Linked DNA regions of Macaca fascicularis. The protein of the gene in region 1 interacts with the protein of each later gene in a biochemical or structural test. Links are inferred from orthologs where the notes say so. Each region holds a gene or a part of one and is shown on either strand. Other genes may lie near its edges.

Region 1 (10,095 bases):
TAATGCAATGATTGAACAGAGGGCTCTGAAATTGGAACTTTGGAGATCATTCAAGAGTTTTTAGAGAGCCCATTTCAGTACTCTAGGGAAGACCAGGTCACCTGCAATCAAGAGGGTTTTGAGATTTTTTTGTTCTGGGTTGAATTGTGTCTTCCAAATTCCTATGTTGAAGTCATATCCATAACTCCTAGTACTTGAGAATATGGCCTTACTGGAAATAAGGTCTTGGGAGATGTAATTAGTTAAAATGAACTTGTACTGGAATAGGTTGAACCCCTAATCCAATATGACTAGTGTCTTCACCAAAAGGGGGAACTTGGACACAGACACACACACAGGGAGAGCACCATGTGAAGTTGAAGTTGAAGACAGAGATGTACAAAGAATGCCAAAGACTGCCGACAAAGCACCAGAAGCTGGCAGAGGCATGGGGCAGAGTCTCACAGTGCTCAGAAAGAACTGACCCTGCCAACACCCTGATCTCAGACTTCTAGCCTCCAGGACTGTGGGACAATCAGTTTCCATACGGAAGCCAGCCAGTTTCAACTGCTTTATTATGGCAGCCCTAGCAAACCCATACACTTTTCTTCATAAAGGTTCACTCAAAGGCTGCCCAGCTGGTGCTTCCTGAAGCCTTGCTCATCCCGAGACCTCTCCCGTGGGGCGTTTTCTCATGCAGACGCCAGTGCTGCTGACCTTCTCCAAGACCAAGTGTGGGGCGGCACGGTCTTCCTGTCTTCAGCTTCTGCACCTCAAGCCCAGAAACTGCTTGTCAGCTTCAGCTCCTCTCCCTGCTTCTGAATAAGGAAGAGCACTCCTGCCACTTTCCCTTCCTCTCCACCCTTCCCAGTCTACCAACGCCTTCCTTTTCTTCTCTTCTCCTTGTTCCCACAAAGCCTCTGTATAGGCCTCAGTAAGGCTGTCCAAAGGAATGTTTCTAGTTCCCCTTCCCTTCTCCCCAAAGTGCCACCCCATCATGTGAAATTAAGCTAACTTCACTGCCTTCTGTCTTCTTCTATTTCCCCTCTTTCTTGGGCCCATTTCCTCCCAAATGGCTCTCTCCCACTCCAAACACTGATGGGATGTTCAATTATTTGTTCAAAAAGAACCACTCTTGAAGTACTGTGCTAGCAGCTTTGGGGGTGTCTGAGATGAAGAACATCTGTCCCTCAGGAAGATGGAAACTTGGTCATCATTTAAAGGGGACAGGTAAGTCTCTCTGCAGGCTAACACCAATTGATTCATATCAGCTTGTTGGAGAAGACTGTGACTTCTAAGGCACCTGGGCTCAGTTGGAGGGTGTGGTGGCAGATGAGTGATGTCTGCATGGCCAGGGTGGTTGGAGACACCAGCGTGGGAAGACCAGGTATTTGCCATCACTGAGGTACAGATCTGGATTCTAAGTCTGGCTTCATGTACTGCTCAGTGAACTTGGGCAAAACGTAAACTCTTGCAACCTCTTGGGCAATTTAACCCCTGAGTGTCTGGACAATTCAATATTTAAACAAGTAAATGCAGTAACCCTGGCACATACGGGAATTTTATGTTAACTGATTTTAAGTCTGGATATAGTGGGGATGGGGACAAGACAAGAGCCAAAATAATTGGAAAATCAATTGTAAGAGCCATAAAAAGTAAAGAGTGCTGTGGGAGTTCAGCGACAACTTCCCATCGAGATGATTTTGCGGGTCTGTCTTCTTGGAGAGAAGGGACAGTATGCAGTCTGAGAATGGAAGCAGAGAAGAGCATGGGGCACACTCATGGGCCTTAGATAATGGGAGAGAAGTAGGAAGGAAGGCTGGAGCAAGAATAGAGAGTTTTGAATTCCTGGCCAAACACCGGGATTTAAGAAAAAAAAAAAAACCACCACCACCCAGAAATCTTTATAGCAACGTCAAGTTTTGCAGCACACTTGTACAATACTGTTTGCACCTAAGAAAATTAGAAGCAAGTTTTTGATTGTATAATTTTATATGAGTTGTGTCAGTACAGAAGCACCACCCTCCCTGCTTAATAAGGTGAATTGGCCATGGCAAAACTTATTAGGCATATGAACGAGCTGGTCTCGACAGCTTCACATTAATACATCAAGGTAGACACTACTCCCACGAACTGAGATTTCAAGAGCTAATCTGCCTAATGTCACACATCAGTAAGTGGTAGAGACAGGGGTGGCACTGAGATTTGAACCAAGTTTGAGCCTGGGCACCAAGACCTGGTATTACTTTCCTTTGAAAAGCTAGGCTGGTGAGGAAAATTAGCTAGACTCCTAACACAGGGGCCTGTCAACCGCTTCTAACGCAAATTCCTCACACATGACAAAGGCTAAATGACAGCGAAAACATTTGGAAAGAAAAGACTTCTTTGTTTTGTGGTCAATTAGCATTCATTCCTGTCTGTAATAAAATAATGGGAATCGCCTGACTGAAATGTGGGTGTTTTTCACTGATTATTGACGCATTCTTTGCCACACAATTCCCTCTTGATTTTAAAAGGATTCCTTTTCATTACAGGTCACTTTTCACTCCTTCCCTTTCCTCTCAGGAGACATTTCTGCAGGTGTAGATGTCACATCAATAAAGGCAGTCATGACTGAGAGTGTGTGGGTGCCTAATTCATTCTTAATAGGATTATGTGATTCAGGGTGCCTCCTTTGTTTCAAGCTGAAGGACTCTCAGCCTCTGTTTGGGTTCCAGTGGTCTGGACGGTATCACTTGGGCATGCAGAATGTTTCACCCGCATGACGGCACCCAGTTCATACATACTAAGCACCTCCCTCCAAGTCGAAGTGGAACCTAACTCTGTTCCAGAAGCAAGTAAGAATAAGGACTTCAGGTGGAGCATGAATATCTCATTTTGAAATGACCTGTCTTCAAAACCCAAGCCAACAAGAATACAAGCCACTTTCTTGGGATTCCTCATGTTAGCTTGGTCTATTATTTTACTGTTCATGTTTTTAGACGGTCTCTTCTGGGAGGAAACATGCCAGTCATATTAAATTAAGCCACATGAAGTTGCTGTTATTTGACCATTATTTTGCTGCCAAAAATGGCAGCAAATTCACGTGAATACCAAAAATTCACATGAATCAATCTAATAGTAATCATAGCTATGTGTAAAATTCTTAGAATGTTCACTGTATCTATTTTTCAATTTAAATAGAGACCTCAGGTTGTAAGACTAAAATGAGAAAATATCACACGGATGAAAATTCTTAATATCTGTTCAATCTCTAAGTATGTAAATCCTAGTATGATCTGATAGTCTTGCACATATTTTATGAAAACTGAGTACAAAATGTTGTCAGGATGAATGCACTTTAATGCTTTAAAGTTTAATCTCACGAATCTCAACAATCAAATGATTCCACTTGATTTATATATGTACATTTTATTAGAATTCTTCAGAACTGTCAACAATTGGACAACATACAGGAATAAAGCACGTGGAACACCAACATCCTTTAAACTTACGCCGCTTATGTATTTACACATAAAGTTACTGTATATATAAAAAATATTTTCAAGGACTCATGGGCTTCAGAATATTCAAAAGACATTATTGCTACATTTCAATATTTACAAAAAAAGCCACAAAATAATTTCAAACGTTAAGCCACTGCAAAGAAACATCTGATGTAAGAAAAAATTATAAAAATATAAACTTTCAAGAATATCCAAGACAAAACTCTCAATGAAGTGCCCCTGAAGTACCTAGACATCTATAACTAACAACCACTTTTCTTACTATAATTGAAGTCAATAGAAACACAAAGGAATTTTTCAGACAAAGTATGGCAAACAACAATCTCTTGGGTGACAACACAACCCCAAAATCTGTTAACTTTGGAAAGGTGCGAGAGCATAGAACTCCAGTGCAAATGATTACTTCCAGATAATGGCCACAGTTCTCTAAATGTAGTCTAAGAAACATAGAAGGGGGAAACCATAAAGGCAACATACCTGAATCTTTCAAGACAACACACAAACTCTGCCATGTACACATTTGCCTTTTATATTGGGCAGTGAGGAAGGAGAGTTTTTTGTTTTGTTTTTTAAAAGAGGTAAACTACAGTAATAATGTCCAGGCTACAGTCTAAAGGGTAAAATTTAAATGTTTCAGTGAGACAGTAGCATTATGGAAGGTCTAAGGAACAGGTACAGTAAGATGAGTCTAAATAACAGAGTGCCTTAAGTGCAGGTGGACTGCAAATACACAGGGACTTATGCCTTCCACTTCCTCCGCACCACTATGGAAGCTTCTGGTAGGCTACTCTAGATAGCTATGTGAAAAGAAACAAGAGCAGTACTAATAATGAAAGCCAAGTTACTTTTTGGGTACTAAAAGACCCTCTTGGACTCAGGGCAAAAATACCCCTCCAAATATTTGTCTACACGCATACAAACGTACACACACATATATAGATACTGGCCCGGCGTCCAGGACATGCCTGTGAAGGAGGCTGAACCTAAACTTTATTTCCTGCTACATAAGAATCGAAACTAAGACGGCAGTGTTTTCTCACTCCTGTGGGAGCCATGCAGTGAATCAGTAACTTTGTCAAACAGCATCAAATCCATTGAGTACAATGCCATTCTGAAGCTGATAGACTTGTTCCGCAGAATCTATAGAGTAAGTTCATCAGCTAAAAGAGGAGATTTTTAGACTGTGCTTTGTGGTTACACTGTTTCCTTAAAAAATGGTATAAACTATTTCCTTCAAACTTATATGGCTCTTAATCTACTTCTATACACAAGTGGACATAATGCCAGGGTTGTATACAGAAACGAAACCTTATGGTGTTTTCCCCTCAAATGTATGAACACGGACAATTTATAGATGCGTATATACAAGTTCTGGCTAGGGAGGCCTTCTCTCCAATTCAACGCTCTAATAGCAAACTCTGTTTAAAAACCAGGTCAGTAGTATAAAAGCTCATGCAGTGGTCCACAGAAGAGCATCTTTTGTTCACACTTGGGGATCATTTTTTTCATGGCCTATGTCTCATTCCCAGCATGAAATACTAGATTTCTTAAGCCCAGGTGTTCATATTCTGTCCTTTGTTCTAATGATGTTCTGTTTTCCACATAAAGGACTTAGGTTTTCCGCTTCTAATCTTGTTGCATCATCATACTACTATGGATGGTTCTGAAGGCCAAATGTGATTACTACCATTTATTCAGGTAAACTATCAACCATATTTTTGGGCAGAATTGGAGGAGCCTTGGAAAGGACTCTGGCCCCCAGCCCATACCTCCCTCTCTTTTTCCAAATCAGAATGTTTTCTGTTCATGGTAGGAGCTACTTTGCTATTAGGAATATATACAGTTCGAACCTTTGCAATAGGATGGTGGCTGATGACAAAAATCATCAACCACTAAAGTGTGCTCAGAAAGACAGGATTGCAGTGGGGTGCCCACTATCCTGGAGTTGGATGCAAGTCAAAAGAAAACAAAATAACCATCATGGAAGCCAATAGAAGAGGAGATCATTCCTGGAGGGGTGACCCAAACACTCATTCTGCTCAGACGTCGTCGTGCACAAGCAGAGGTTGGGAGGAGGAAGCGGTGCTGCCGACAGAATTGATCCGCACGGAATGGTCCACTACAGGCTTCTGTCGGTTGGGGCTGCAGTTTGCTAAGTTGGAGTAAATCTGGGGAAAACAAGCGCATAGTCAATACACCAGGTCCCTACAATGAACACAGCAACAAAAGGCATACTTACAGTGTCAAGATCACCACTAACTGATGGAAACTCTTAAGAGAGAAGTGGTTTACAAGAACTTTATGGCCAAAACCCAAGTCATACTGACAAAACAAATATAAGCTTTGTTTTCCCCTTCATTTTTCCAAAGGAAATAACTTCATACAAGAAGTAGGGACAAAACATGCACAAGCTTAGCTCTTCTAATGGGGCACACCAGGGAGCAAGCACTATCAAACCTATCTAAAAAGGCTTGTAAATCTCTACAGCCAACTACAACCCAACAACCAATGTAATTTGCCGAGAAACCCATGGCCCTTCCAGGGGTCTCCTGTCAAGAATCAAAGTAACTGGGTGAAAAATGCTGTTTAAGTTGAAACACGCTTTGAAACCCAGAAGAACAAGCTTTAACCCAAAAATTATCAGTGGTGTGCTATTAGGAAAGAAAAGATAGCTCCAAGCACACAGCCCAGTAAAGAAAGCAGCTTAAAAAAATCAGAGTCAAAGTATCACTAATTCTTCCTTAAAAGCAAGAGAGGAAATAATAGATTTGAGTTTTCATTCCCCCCCACTTCCCAAATCACTGGGAGGGATCTCCCAACTTCAAACAGCTCTTCATTCTATATGGCTTGTGGGCATGACAGCTATCTGCCATTTTCTGGCTATGCTTGTTTGATCAGAAGGCTTATTTCACTGCAGTAACAAGCTGTCTTTTCTATGCGTTTATTCTATTCACATCACCCCAACCCTCCAAAGGATGAATGGCCCTGACACGTGAGAGGGAGAAAATACTGACCCCATGACCAGCATTTGAGATAGGGGAGGAAACATGGCAAATCCTTACGGAAACTTCTACTTCCACTGAGCACAAAACTCTCCACCCTTCCCCCTCCATCTCACATCCTTCTTTGGCTCAGAAGAGGAGGGCTGGGCAGAAAGAACTGGTTTCCATTGCTTTACTTCCCCTACCTGAAGCCCAATTTGCAACCTAAGATGAGGAGAGAAGGGGTTGGGAGGTTAGTCCTCACCTTGAAAACCTGAGGAGGAGGACACACCTGGAACTGGGAGAAGGGGGATTCGGCCAGAGTATACTCACATGATTGGTGCTTTCTGAAATCTGCTTCTCAATTAGCTGAACAATTTGCTTGAATGTTGGTCTTTTTAGGGGATCCGCATCCCAGCAAGTCTTCATTATGTCATACCTGCGAGACAAGGGCCATTTACTATCCCTCCTCAACACCCTCAGTCTGTTTTCAAATGTATGGCATCCAGCAACTTCAGTAATAATTCCAGGGCTATGCAACTGGACATACGGACTGACATATGGATAACATAAAACACTGCATGTATGAAATGCTGCTGAAACTTTCTGTATTTTTGGTGACAAGAGATTATGAAAATAAACTACAGAAATGACATTTGACCAGCGTGTCATAAAGAAACCAAGTGACATTTCAAACTGTGTTATGAAAACCCTCAACATCTGGGTTTCTGTCTTTAAAAAGAAAAATAAAAGGGAAAATGTGATCTAAAGGAAAAATTTTTCGACCCTTACATTTCAGCAGGTGCATGTTCAGGGCTGAGCATCCGGAAGCCTTCCTTGATCATCTTGTAGAATTTAGAATCGACTGGCATTCCAGGATAGGGGCTGCTTCCTGAGACACAGTTTGCAAAGCAGTGTTAATCACAAGGAAGCAGGACACTAATGAAACCTCAAGAAGATGCTCTGAGTCTAATGAGGGTGTCTTTGGCAAGGATCATTTTACCTAAAGAGAATAGCTCCCAAAGAAAAATCCCATAGGACCAGACGTCACTTTCAAATGTGTACACACAGTTGAAAATGCTTTCAGGTGCCATCCACTTCACAGGTAGTCGAGCCTGTAATGGAAGCACAACAGAGTCAACAATGTTAATTCAGAAGCTCAACAAAACTGAACAGAAGATATTCTTATAGATGCTGCTGTTGCTGAAATGTGAGATGATAACTTAAGTACCATCTCACAAAAACCTTCTACCTATATAATCTCAGATGATCCCAATCACCTCTGAAATACATGGCTCACAAGTTCATTATCCCCATTTTAAGATGTGAACACTATGTCAGTACGGCATGGAGATTAAGAGCACAAACATCAGAGACAGCCAGACATTTTAGCTCTGGCTCTATCATGGGCCTTAGGTAATGCAGAGATTTGTTAGTTTCCACTGAATATGTCCCTCTCCTTCCTTAAAAACAGAAACATGGCCTCTCACAATTAGGACTACATTTCCCAGCCTCCTTTGCAGCTAGCTAGCTGTAGTCAGGTGACTCGGTTTTGGCCACCAAGTTGTAAGTGCTATATGGCAGCTTCAGGAATACCTCCTTATAATATAGCTAGCATGTGCCCTCTGCCCTCTCTTCTGTAGTGCAAGGGCCCCCTGCCTTCTGGATGTGATGGCTGGCTATCTACCTGGTGGTCATCTTGGACCATGGACATGGGGGTTACACCCAGGAATTGCTAAGCATGGAAGGGAAAGACTTGGCCCAGGTACTCCATGGAATCTTTATACCAATCCTGGCCTGCTACCCTTAGACTTCTTTTATTTTGGGTTTTCTGTCAAAACCCAAAACTCTAATACACTGGGGAAGTCATTAAAATATCTGTAATTAAACCTCCGTATCTTCTGTAAAACAAAATGAACACTTTTAATTTTATGAATTGTCCTTTATGAATTTTGTGAATTGTCCCATTAAATAAGACAATGTGGGTAAAAATGCTTAGCACCACCTGACTCAGTGCTATCTGAAAAACTGCCTAGAATAAAGGCAAGTACCCAATAAACAGTAGTGGCTTGTGATCATGACTCTTTGGAGAACTCTCTCCATTAAAGTTGAGATGAACTTTCTGTAACTATTCCTCTTAGATGCATTCTGGATTCCCAATCTTAATCTGCCATAAAAAGCTAAATCAATCCTTCTCTTAATCCATTTAAGATTGAAATCTGGGACAGCTTTTTTTTTTTTTTTTTGGTGTTAAAGTTATTTTAGTCAGTTTAAAAAAACAAAACAAGACAAAACAAACTTCCAATATCCCTTCTCTTCCTAGATGTTGTGCTAAAGTTCCTATGAGGACTCCTAACCTGAGATCTATGGGTGTCAAATTCAGGGGCCTGTGAACTTGGAAAGGAAAAATGACATCCTTACTTTTGCTAATTTCTAGATGAAATTTAGCATTTCTTCAAATTACTAAGAAAGGTGATAAACCACAGTAGTATTAGCTGTACCTGCGACTTTCTCATGAACATCTTCATATCCTATTAAGTCTTTACAGGCATCTCAAAATCATATTTACATTAATCACCACTCTAAAATTACAGTGGTTTTTAGAAAAAAGTAATAGCAAAACCCACAATTACTTTTGCACCAACCTAACAGAGCCTGTTACTCTCTGTAGTAAACACATGTACTGACATATCACAAATTTACTTAATAACGTGATAGTTATTTCGGTTTAACTGTTTTCCTTGGTAATCCTACATATTTCATCATAGGCGTCGAAAACAGTGTTCTGATAAGGGTTCCATAGGCTTTACCACACTCTAAAAGGGGCCATGACATGAAAAATGATGAAGAACTCACGTGAAAGGAAAGAACTTCAGAGAACCTGACGTAACAAGGAGATCTCAAATGATGATGACATAAATGCAGGGCAGTAACATGTTTGAGTTTCTTATCTTGTTCCAGAAATTCTCCTTACCCACTAGACAGGTGAAAGCGACGTCTGTGATTGGTTAGTTCAACTGACTTGAACTGGACTCTACAGTCTGGAAGCCTGATGGAGCCAACCCCTCTGTCAATTCAAACTAAGGTCACTAACTAATAACAAGACAGTATATAACCATCATCACGATTATTCAGATCGCAAATAAGACATCTATAAAGAATAGTAACAATATGTCTGGCACTGTCCTGAGCACTTTACATATATTAACTCATAACTTTCTCAGTCAGGAATCACTATTATTCCCAAGGGGAGAAAAACAAAGATTCAGAGTTATTGGATAACTCTTGACAAAATTACACAGCCAGGAAATAATGGAGACAGATTACAGAATTCATCAAGACTGGGCCTGGAGACTGCCACCTTCCTCCTCCTCCCTTTGGTCAATATTCAGAGGACTGGATAATTAACGACTTATCATTCTTCCTTCCAAAATTGCACAAGGATGAAGAGAAGTTGTTTTTATTACCACTCCTGATGATAATATCTAGCTTCAGGGCAGCCTTTTCAGAATTCATGCTTTGGCCAGGAGATAAACACAGCAACACTCTTACAAAACCAAGTCGGGTACAGGCTACCAATAGAGACACTGCAGTGATGAGGGGGACACTACATTTTCATAAGGGGCCCA
Region 2 (9,587 bases), on another chromosome or scaffold:
TGATTCTCTCCTCCGACTTGGCTTTCCCGCTGAAACTGGCCCCTCCCCGCACACCCTGGGAGAGCCGCCCTCACTCCCTGGCTCGCCCAGTTTACCCCAGTTTGGGTTTCCCCAAGTCTCTAAGACAGACGTCTCCGCGGGCTGCGGGGAGATGTGGGGAGGGCCCCCTCCACTTTGGAGGACGGTGAAGGAGAGGGATCCTCTAAATTGTTGAGGCTCCATCTCTCCAGACTGTATGCCCTGCTCAGCAACATCGCCTCCGGCCCTCGGGTGGGAAAGTGGAGGCCGGGTGAGCCGGGGTCCCTCCTGGCTTCAGCATGAAGTGGCCAGGAAGGCTAGAGGGGTGGGTGAGTGGCTCTGCAGTGCGGTGGGGCCTGGGGAGAGTGGGGTAGGGGATGGCAGATGGTTTCCTCTGCTTGATGAGGCTAAGGAGAGACCCAGGTACCCGGTCTGGGTCTCCCTGGCAGATTGAGGACAGGGAATGCACCTGCCGGCAAGGTGGAACCCCCCCTCGCCGCCCCGCTCCAGCCTCACTGCCCACCAGGAATGCTCCCTTTTGGTCCGCCGGTCTTGGACTCTGCTCTCTCCTGATATCCTGCTGTGTGCGGGGTGGGGGGACCTCATGGAAGCAGGCAGCCTGTAATGATTAACCGCACAGACACTCCAGCATTCTTCCCGAATTAAACTTTAAAAGAGCTGCCCCGCCTTCTCTCATTGGGTATTTTTCCTGAGTGAGAGTGGGCGGGGCCTCAGAGTCCTGGGTCCTCCCTTCTACTAGGAGTCATCCAGGGGTTTCTCACCTTCTCACCTGGGCCCTGCACCCTAAAAGGTTATAAGCCTGTCCCGTGGGGGCGGGGCGTGGAGTACTGGGCGGACAGGGACGCTCCCGCCACATCCAGGCCCCTGGCCCAGGCCTCAGTCCCGCAAGCCCTTCCCCCTACTCTGGGAAGTAGAGTTGTTTTCTGTTGGCCCTGAACACCGGGCCCCGCCACCCGCCCTTAGGGCCAGCCAGGTGGGGCGTGATTCAGGAAGTAAACAAGGAGGTTGGGAGGACGGGAACGCGGGTGGGGCTGGAGCCACTGGGGGAGGAGGCAGCTGGGAAGACACCGCCGGAGTTACCTCGTTGAGGGGACAAACTGATTTTGGAGGTCGGTTTTTCCAACCGAAACTTTCCCGGTGCCTCAGTTTCAAAACTCCAGATCTCTAAGCTGCCAGGCCTACAGCCAGGAGCCCTTCCCCTCCCTGCTCGCCTCTTTGGTCTTGAGGATTCCACCCGCCTCCAGCCTTAGAAGGGGCTGAAGGGCCCGGGTGGGGGGATCTGAAGGCAAACCCCAGCCTTAGGCTGGCCCTCTCTGATCTCTGAGGCCAGGCTGTAATGTGATTCGAATCCACTTCTAACCCCTTCCAAGCGCTGCCCGCCTGAATTCTCTGCTCCTCTCCCCATCCCACTGTTGGCCCCCTGCAACCTGGAATGAAGTCACCAGGGCTGTTTGGAGACCGGGGCTGTTTGGAGGGTAGACTGGGGTGGGAGTGGGGGATCGTGTTCTGATATTGAGGTGCTGGTGTCTCTTGCTAGCGGGTGGCGGGTATATCTTGCCCCTCCTGGCCAGACCCTGGGCCCCCTCCCTGGCCCTTCATCCTGTCTGTCTTTTTGAGTGTTTTCCCTTTCTGCTCCTGCTCCTGTGGTACCCCTCTGGCCGGGACACCCAGGAGAATGTGTCGGGAGGAACCTCATCCACACGGGGCGGGGGCTCTGAGCGATGCTTTGGGTGGGGAGGGGCACCGCTGGGACGCTGGCTTCTCTCCAAATGGGCCTCTGAATCCAGGCCGGGCATTGCCTCTCTCTTTCCCAGGTGAGGGACTCCCTGGCAAGGCGGTGGTTTGGCACTGGGGGTGAGAGCAGATCACAGGTCCCACCTGGCCTGGAGCAAGGCCGAGGGTGGGGAGGAGGAGGTGATGTCAGAGGAGCCTCAGGCCCCACATGTTCCTCCCCCATCCTGTTCCCAGCCCCATGCCTCCCCCATTCGGCTGTGGCTACCATTGGATTGGGGAGTTGGGGGGAGGGTAGAGGCAGGGCTGTTTTTGTTTCTCCTAAGCCAGGAAGTTGTGTGGATGAGTCAAGGTTGAATGGAGAGCCCTAGGCAGTGTTGTCCCGCCTGCCCTGACTCACCTGTCCCCCAAATCCCCTGATGCCCTCACTGAGGGGTCAGGTGCCTGCGCCCTCCTGAGGGGTCAATCCCAGGTGCCCCAGGTGGCCTCATAGTACTGGCCCAGTGTTCGGAGAACAGGCTAGGGGCTGGGATTGCAGGTTCTCCCAGGTCTCAGTCCAGCCAAAGGGGTCTGCCTGGTTCCTGAGGAGGAGGGGCCAGCCCCACCTCCACCTCTAGTGCCGGCTCTCCTGTCTTTACTTGTCCTGAGTGTCTGTGCAGCCCCTGTAAGTGATAAGACATGGGTGAGATTGGCCTTGCCTGGGGGTACCGGGTGCCCTTGGACAAATGAGTGGATAGGACAGGTGCGCAGTAATGGATGATGTAGCCCCTGCACAGTGCTGAGAGGGAGTCGTTCACTCAGAATGTGGAAAGCCAGGAAGGCTTCTCAGAGGAAGTGGCTCTAGCATTGGAGCCTCAGGAAAGAGTTGGGCAGGAGGATGGCCTGGGGAGGGTACGCAAGGTTTAGGGGCTGCTGTGGCCAGGACGCCTACCCCAGGTCTCCTCTCCCCCTTGCACTGAAGCGGAGCCGGCTCTCCTGACTTTCTGGCTCCCATCCTTCCCCACCTCCTTCTCCCCCCTGCATCACTCATCACTTGGGCAGGCCAAACTTCACCAAGTACGAACAGGCTCTGGCAACTGGGTCTGGCAACACAGTGCTGGAAAAACCCGGGCAGTGCCTGGAGCAGTGAGTGCCCCACGCGTGGAGGCAAAGGAGTGGACCTTTGCCCTGACCCTGAGGGCTGAGCCTGAGAGTGTGTGGGTTGTGAAATCTGTTGTGACCACCAGGCTTGTGGTGGGTGGACCCTCAGCTCTTCCTGTGAGCAACTTTGTGCTAAAGAAAGAGCACTGGAGCTGGGCGCAGTGGCTCACGCCTGTAATCCCAGCACTTTGGGAGGCCAAGGCGGACGGATCAGGAGTTCGAGACCAGCCTGGCCAACGTGGTGAAACCCTATCTCTACTAAAAATACAAAAATTAGCTGGGCATGGTGGCATGCACCTATAATCCCAGTTACTCGGGAGGTTAAGGCAAGAGAATCGCTTGAACCCAGGAGGCAGAGGTTGCAGTGAAAAAAAAAAACAAAAAAAAAAAACCAGAAAGAGCACTGGACTTGGAGTCTAAACACCAGGTTCTACTCCTGACTCACCTGTGACTCAGGGCACCAGGTTCTACTCCCCGACTCACCTGTGACTGAGGGTAAGAATGCTTCCTTCTCAGAGACTCAGTGTCCCCTTTTATAAAATGAGGCTCATTCTGTCTTTCCCCAAGGGCTTCAGGGAAACTCCAGTTAGAGCAGTGAGGTGCTAGGTAAACTCTGAGGGGCACCCTAACCACCGTGTGAGGTCAGGAGGTCTGATTTCTCTAGTCCCCTCTCCCCAGGACAAGGGCACACAACTGACACAACTGGTTCCATTCTGCCCCTCTCTCCCTCAGATGCCATGGAGCTGGATCTGTCTCCACCTCATCTTGGCAGCTCTCCGGAAGACCTTTGCCCAGCCCCCGGGACCCCTCCTGGGACTCCCCGGCCCCCTGATACCTCTCTGCCTGAGGAGGTAAAGAGGTCCCAGCCTCTCCTCATCCCAACCACCGGCAGGTACGACGGGATGTGGGGCTTGGGGGAGGTCAGTGCTGGATAATACACAGCGGCTTGCAGGCCACTGCTCCTTTCCCCACACCTCTCTCCCTTTTTCTTCTTGCCACAGGAAACTTCGAGAGGAGGAGCGGCGTGCCACCTCCCTCCCCTCCATCCCCAACCCCTTCCCTGAGCTCTGCAGTCCTCCCTCACAGAGCCCCATTCTTGGGGGCCCCTCTAGTGCAAGAGGGCTGCTCCCCCGCGATGCCAGCCGCCCCCATGTGAGTTGTCCCTCAGAAGGGAAGGGAGGGATGCAGGGTTCTGGATCTGTGGGAGATACACAGCCATTTCCATGGAGGCGGGGGATCTTGGTTAGGAGTCCCTGAGGGTCTAGCAGGTGTGGAAAGGGAAGGAATCACCCTTTGCCTCCCCTCAAGTCATCTGCAATTCCTGGGGCACAGGTAGTAAAGGTGTACAGTGAGGACGGGGCCTGCAGGTCTGTGGAGGTGGCGGCAGGTGCCACAGCTCGCCATGTGTGTGAAATGCTGGTGCAGCGAGCTCACGCTTTGAGCGACGAGACCTGGGGGCTGGTGGAGTGCCACCCCCACCTAGCACTGGGTAAGTCGGGTGCATGGAACTACCCAGGCTGGGAGGTGATGTCTCGCATCTTGGGCTAGGCATGTGACTCATCTGGGAGATCTGGTTGATCTCCAATAACCCCTGCTTTTTGCCCTTGACCCCAGAGCGGGGTTTGGAGGACCACGAGTCCGTGGTGGAAGTGCAGGCTGCCTGGCCCGTGGGCGGAGATAGCCGCTTCGTCTTCCGGAAAAACTTCGCCAAGTACGAACTGTTCAAGAGCTCCCCAGTGAGTGTGTGAGGGCTGTCTGGGCGCTGGGATGCCCTGAGCCTGAACCGGACACTGGAGCCCTGACCCCTGACACTTTTCTACCCTCAGCACTCCCTGTTCCCAGAAAAAATGGTCTCCAGCTGTCTCGATGCACACACTGGTATATCCCATGAAGACCTCATCCAGGTGGGGAGACCCCCCCCATTTCACGACTCCCCAGAACTGACCAGTGCTTCTCTGCCCTTAGGTCCTGTGCCTCCCCTCTATGTGGTAGAAAGAGCCAAACCACAGTCCTGTGTGACTGGGGACAACTCACTTTCCCTACCTGAGCATCAGTTTCTTCTGTTAAATGGGGGCGAGAAATGCATGTGGAGCATTTCCTTGTAAAAACCTGAGGGTGGGCTGGGTGTGGTGGCTCATGCCTGTAATCCCAGCACTTTGGGAGGTTGAGGCAGGAGGATTACTTGAGCCCAGAAGTTTGAGACCACCCTGGGCAACATAGTGAGACCTTGTCTCTCCAAAAAAAAAAAAAAAAAAAAAAAGGAAAAGGCCAGGAATGGTGGCATGAGCCTGGTCTCAGGTGCTTGGGAGGCTGAGGTGGGAGGATCACTTGAGCTCGGGAGGTCGAGGTTGCAGTGAGCTGTGATCGTGCCACTGCACTAGCATAAGACCCCATCTCAAAAAGAAAAAGAAGACATCTGGTGGTAGAGGGGAAGGGAGGAGGCCAGACCTCCCACTCTCTTCTCTTCTCTGGCTCAGAACTTCCTGAATGCTGGCAGCTTCCCTGAGATCCAGGGCTTTCTGCAGCTGCGGGGTTCAGGACGGAAGCTTTGGAAACGCTTTTTCTGCTTCTTGCGCCGATCTGGCCTCTATTACTCCACCAAGGGCACCTCTAAGGTGAGGTCTTGAGAGTGCCAGCTCCAGCCTCTGCAGTCCCTGGTCCTTTTAGAAGTTGCCCCTTCTCTGCTGGAACCCCTGAGCCCTTCTCCCCCCGTGCCCCCCAGGCCAACCACCTCCAGTTTACCATCTCTCCCTACATCCTTGCCCAGCTCACCTGCCCAGGGAGGTAGCAGGAGAAAAGATGACCTGAGTTTAAGTCCTGGCTCTACTTCTATTTGCTCTGTGACCCTGGGCACTCCCCTGCCCCTCTCTGGTCCTGAAATCTCCCCACCTGGCTTGTGGGGGGAGGTAATAGCGGGTGGGGTCCACCTGTACCAAGTCCTGCTCACTCGTGCTGCTCAGGATCCGAGGCACCTGCAATACGTGGCAGATGTGAACGAGTCCAACGTGTACGTGGTGACGCAAGGCCGCAAGCTCTACGGGATGCCCACCGACTTTGGCTTCTGTGTCAAGGTGAAGACCTGGCCAGGCCTGGCCCCTGGCCTGCGGAAGCAGGAACTGCTCAGGCCCCTGGATCCTGCCTAGGGCTTCTGAGTCCCAATCCAGATGCCCAGGCTCCTCTCCCTGCACCCTGGCCTGCTGGAAACTCCCTGGATCCTGCTCTGCTCTGTGGAGCAGGGACAGACATGTAGTCCCAAAGGCAGATACGGGACCAGCCAGTTTCCTCTCTCCGCAGCCCAACAAGCTTCGAAATGGCCACAAGGGGCTTCGGATCTTCTGCAGTGAAGATGAGCAGAGCCGCACCTGCTGGCTGGCTGCCTTCCGCCTCTTCAAGGTGAGACCCTGGGAGTGGCATGGGGGGCTGATCTGGCCAGAGGGATTCCCAGCTCTGCCCCCAGGAAGTCTCAGGAATGAGGAGGGCATCACAGCCTTGCTCTCTGATAACGCTCAGTCCAAGCCTGAAGTTACAGGAAGCGCCCATTGAAGGCAGAAACACAGCCCTAGTCTGGGCAAGTCCTGGTTTGAAGGGGGGTCACAGCCACGCCCCCAGGACCTCTCGACCTCAAGCGCTCTTTCTCTCCCCACCCCCAGTACGGGGTGCAGCTGTACAGGAATTACCAGCAGGCACAGTCTCGCCATCTGCGTCCGCCTTGTTTGGGTTCCCCACCCTTGGTGAGTGCGCACAAGGGGATGGAAGGGTGGGCACGCAGGCCCTGTCTTAGGGGTACCTGGGCCCTGTTCTGACCTCTCCCCTCTCCTTCCATCTCCAGAGAAGTGTCTCAGATAATACCCTGGTGGCCATGGACTTCTCTGGCCATGCCGGGCGCGTCATTGAGAACCCCCGGGAGGCTCTGAGTGTGGCCCTGGAGGAGGCCCACGCCTGGAGGGTGAGGCCTGCTGCCTGTGTGTTGGTGCTGGGGACCCACTCTCTGGGTGGGATCCCTGAAATAGGAGGGAGGAAGAGGGGCAGGGGGAGGCCCCCTGGCTGGGGAGAAGTGCTCTACCTTCCTGAGGTGCTGGGTAATGCCCGCAAGCACACCCCGACTCTCCCATATCTCCCACTGCTCCACAGAAGAAGACAAACCACCGCCTCAGCCTGCCTACGCCGGCCTCCGGCACGAGCCTCAGTGCAGGTGTGTGATGGCCCTGAGTCCTGGGGCAGGGGCTGCCTCGACTTCTCTTTGCATTCTCAGTGGGGAGCAGATGGTATAGGGGTCCCCTCCCCAAAGTGACTGCCCATGTCCTTCCCCACCGCAGCCATCCACCGCACCCAACTCTGGTTCCACGGGCGCATTTCCCGTGAGGAGAGCCAGCGGCTTATTGGACAGCAGGGCTTGGTAGACGGGTAAGGGGCAGGGCCGGGCAACAGACCCAGGGATAAGAGAGACCGGGGTCCAGGTGGCAGCCATGGGTCCTCGGGTAATGCTGCCCTATCTCCTGTCTTCTGGCAGCCTGTTCCTGGTCCGGGAGAGTCAGCGGAACCCCCAGGGCTTTGTCCTCTCTTTGTGCCACCTGCAGAAAGTGAAGCATTATCTCATCCTGCCGGTGAGCTTCTCTGCGTCCCCGGAGTCCTGCAATGAGACACAGGACTCCCAGCAACCTGTCCTCCTCACCAGGCCCCTCCAGAGGCTCCCTGGCCCCTAGTGCGTCTCCCTTTTCCCTGCCCAAGAAGTGGGAGGCTGAGTGCGGTGGCTCACACCTGTAATCCCAGCACTTGGGAAGGCCAAGGTGGGAGAATGGTTTGAGCCCAGGAGTTCGAGACCAGCCTGGGCAACACAGGGAGACCCCATCTCTACAAATAATTTAAAAATGAGCCAGGCATGGTGGTGCACACCTGTAGTCCCAGCTACTCAGGAGGCTGAGGTGGGAGCATTGCTTGAGCCCAGAGGGTCAAGGCTGCAGTGAGCCATGGTGGCACCACCACACTCCAGCCTGGATGACAGAGTGAGAAAACCCTGTCTCCAAAAAAAAAAAAGAAAAAAGAAAAGAAAGAAAAGAAAAGAAAAAAGAAGAAAATGAAATGGGTGGGGCCCTGGCCCAGGAGGGAGCTCCCTAAGCCTCGGGCCCCTCCCTGACCTTCCCCCCCTCTACTGTACCCCAGAGCGAGGAGGAGGGCCGCCTGTACTTCAGCATGGATGATGGCCAGACCCGCTTCACTGACCTGCTGCAGCTCGTGGAGTTCCACCAGCTGAACCGCGGCATCCTGCCATGCTTGCTGCGCCACTGCTGCACGCGGGTGGCCCTCTGACCAGGCCATGGACTGGCTCATGCCTCAGCCCGCCTTCAGGCTGCCCACCGCCTCTCCACCCATCCAGTGGACTCTGGGACGTGGCAGCGGGGAACGGGATGAGGAGCGGAAGGGTTCCCCCACTCCAGTTTTCTCCTCTGCTTCTTTGCCTCCCTCAGGTAGAAACCAGCCCCTGCTCCAGTTCACTCCTGACCCCTCTCCTCAAGGGAAGGCCTGGGGTGGCCCCTCCCCTTCTCCTAGCTCCGGAGTTGCTGCTCTAGGGCAGGGCATTATGGGAGAATTGGGGGCAGCCCAGGCAGTCTCATGCCCCACACTCTGTACAGACTGAGAGGCCAGTTGATCTGCTCTGTTTTATACCAGTGACAATAAAGATTATTTTTTGATATACCTATGAGTTCTGTCTAGCAAGGCCTGGCTGGCTGAAGTCAAGAAGGGAACCAGAGCTGGGTGTGGTGGCTCACGCCTATAATCCCAGCACCTTGGGAGGCCAAGGTAGGAGGATCACTTGAGTCCAGGAATTTGAGACCAGCCTGGGCAACATGGCAAGACCCTATCCCAACAAAAAATAAAAAAATGAGCCGGGCGTGGTGGTGGGCACCTGTAGTCCCAGCTACTCAGGAGGCTGAGGTGGGAGGATCCCTTGTCCCTTGAGCCTGGGATATCAAGGCTGCAGTGAACTGAGATTGCACCACTGCACTCAGCCTGGGTGACAGAGTGAGACCCTGTCTGGAAAAAAAAAAAAAAAAAAGGCGTGGGGGGGAGACCCAGAGAGGTGGGCACCTGTGGAAGCCTTGGTGAAAGTGTCAAATGGATCGAGGCCATGTCCCTGCCTGCCTGGGTGTTCCTCAAGGGCAGGAGTGGTCATGGTTATCTGAGAGTCTCCAGTGCCCACCATGCAGCCTGACACATAGTGGGCGCCCAGTCATTGCTAAGTGAATGGACAAGAGACCATCATCCCAGAGAGATTTCCTGACAGTCTAAGCCTCGAGGGGTAACTAACAGGGCCTGGGAGTTGCAGATGAGTCCAACAGCATGCTTGTCCTCCGCTGGTCCTGGACTAGCTGGTGGGACAGTTGGCCCCAGCATGTACACAGTTATGCATCCAGCCCCACCACCAAGACACAGAACGGCCCCATTGCCCCCCACAAGTCCCTGTGTCCCCTACTACCAACCCTGCTCCCTCCTCCCCAACCTGAAACCTTTCTGTCCTAGTTCTGCCCCTTCCAGAAAGCCATATAAATGGAACCTGCTAGCATTCAGCCCTCTGCATCTGGCTTCGCTCTCCAACACATCCTTCAGCACCCAGAGCGATCTTTCCCAAATCTAAATCCACCACTCCTGGCCGGGCGCGGTGGCTCACAGCTGTGATC

The links.
Region 2: the proteins of KIT (region 1) and GRB7 form a complex in vitro, tested with the Homo sapiens proteins (3 studies listed by BioGRID and IntAct, with this or other methods). The link is inferred for Macaca fascicularis from reciprocal best matches to the Homo sapiens genes KIT and GRB7.

The regions. Positions count from the first base shown.
Region 1 is NC_088379.1:79,154,337-79,164,431, forward strand, and holds the end of KIT (mast/stem cell growth factor receptor Kit), read right to left. Parts: intron 7,582-10,095; coding exon 7,470-7,581; intron 7,359-7,469; coding exon 7,259-7,358; intron 6,906-7,258; coding exon 6,800-6,905; intron 5,654-6,799; coding exon 5,525-5,653; 3' UTR 3,371-5,524; downstream 1-3,370. UniProt on the Homo sapiens protein: Tyrosine-protein kinase that acts as a cell-surface receptor for the cytokine KITLG/SCF and plays an essential role in the regulation of cell survival and proliferation, hematopoiesis, stem cell maintenance, gametogenesis, mast cell development, migration and function, and in melanogenesis.
Region 2 is NC_088390.1:60,801,563-60,811,149, forward strand, and holds the end of GRB7 (growth factor receptor-bound protein 7), read left to right. Parts: exon of another isoform or gene 1-289; intron 290-1,062; exon of another isoform or gene 1,063-1,148; intron 1,149-3,385; exon of another isoform or gene 3,386-3,405; intron 3,406-3,642; 5' UTR 3,643-3,647; coding exon 3,648-3,802; intron 3,803-3,911; coding exon 3,912-4,062; intron 4,063-4,242; coding exon 4,243-4,399; intron 4,400-4,524; coding exon 4,525-4,646; intron 4,647-4,736; coding exon 4,737-4,814; intron 4,815-5,387; coding exon 5,388-5,525; intron 5,526-5,870; coding exon 5,871-5,981; intron 5,982-6,204; coding exon 6,205-6,303; intron 6,304-6,560; coding exon 6,561-6,641; intron 6,642-6,739; coding exon 6,740-6,856; intron 6,857-7,041; coding exon 7,042-7,102; intron 7,103-7,226; coding exon 7,227-7,314; intron 7,315-7,420; coding exon 7,421-7,514; intron 7,515-8,070; coding exon 8,071-8,217; 3' UTR 8,218-8,604; downstream 8,605-9,587. UniProt on the Homo sapiens protein: Adapter protein that interacts with the cytoplasmic domain of numerous receptor kinases and modulates down-stream signaling. Promotes activation of down-stream protein kinases, including STAT3, AKT1, MAPK1 and/or MAPK3. Promotes activation of HRAS.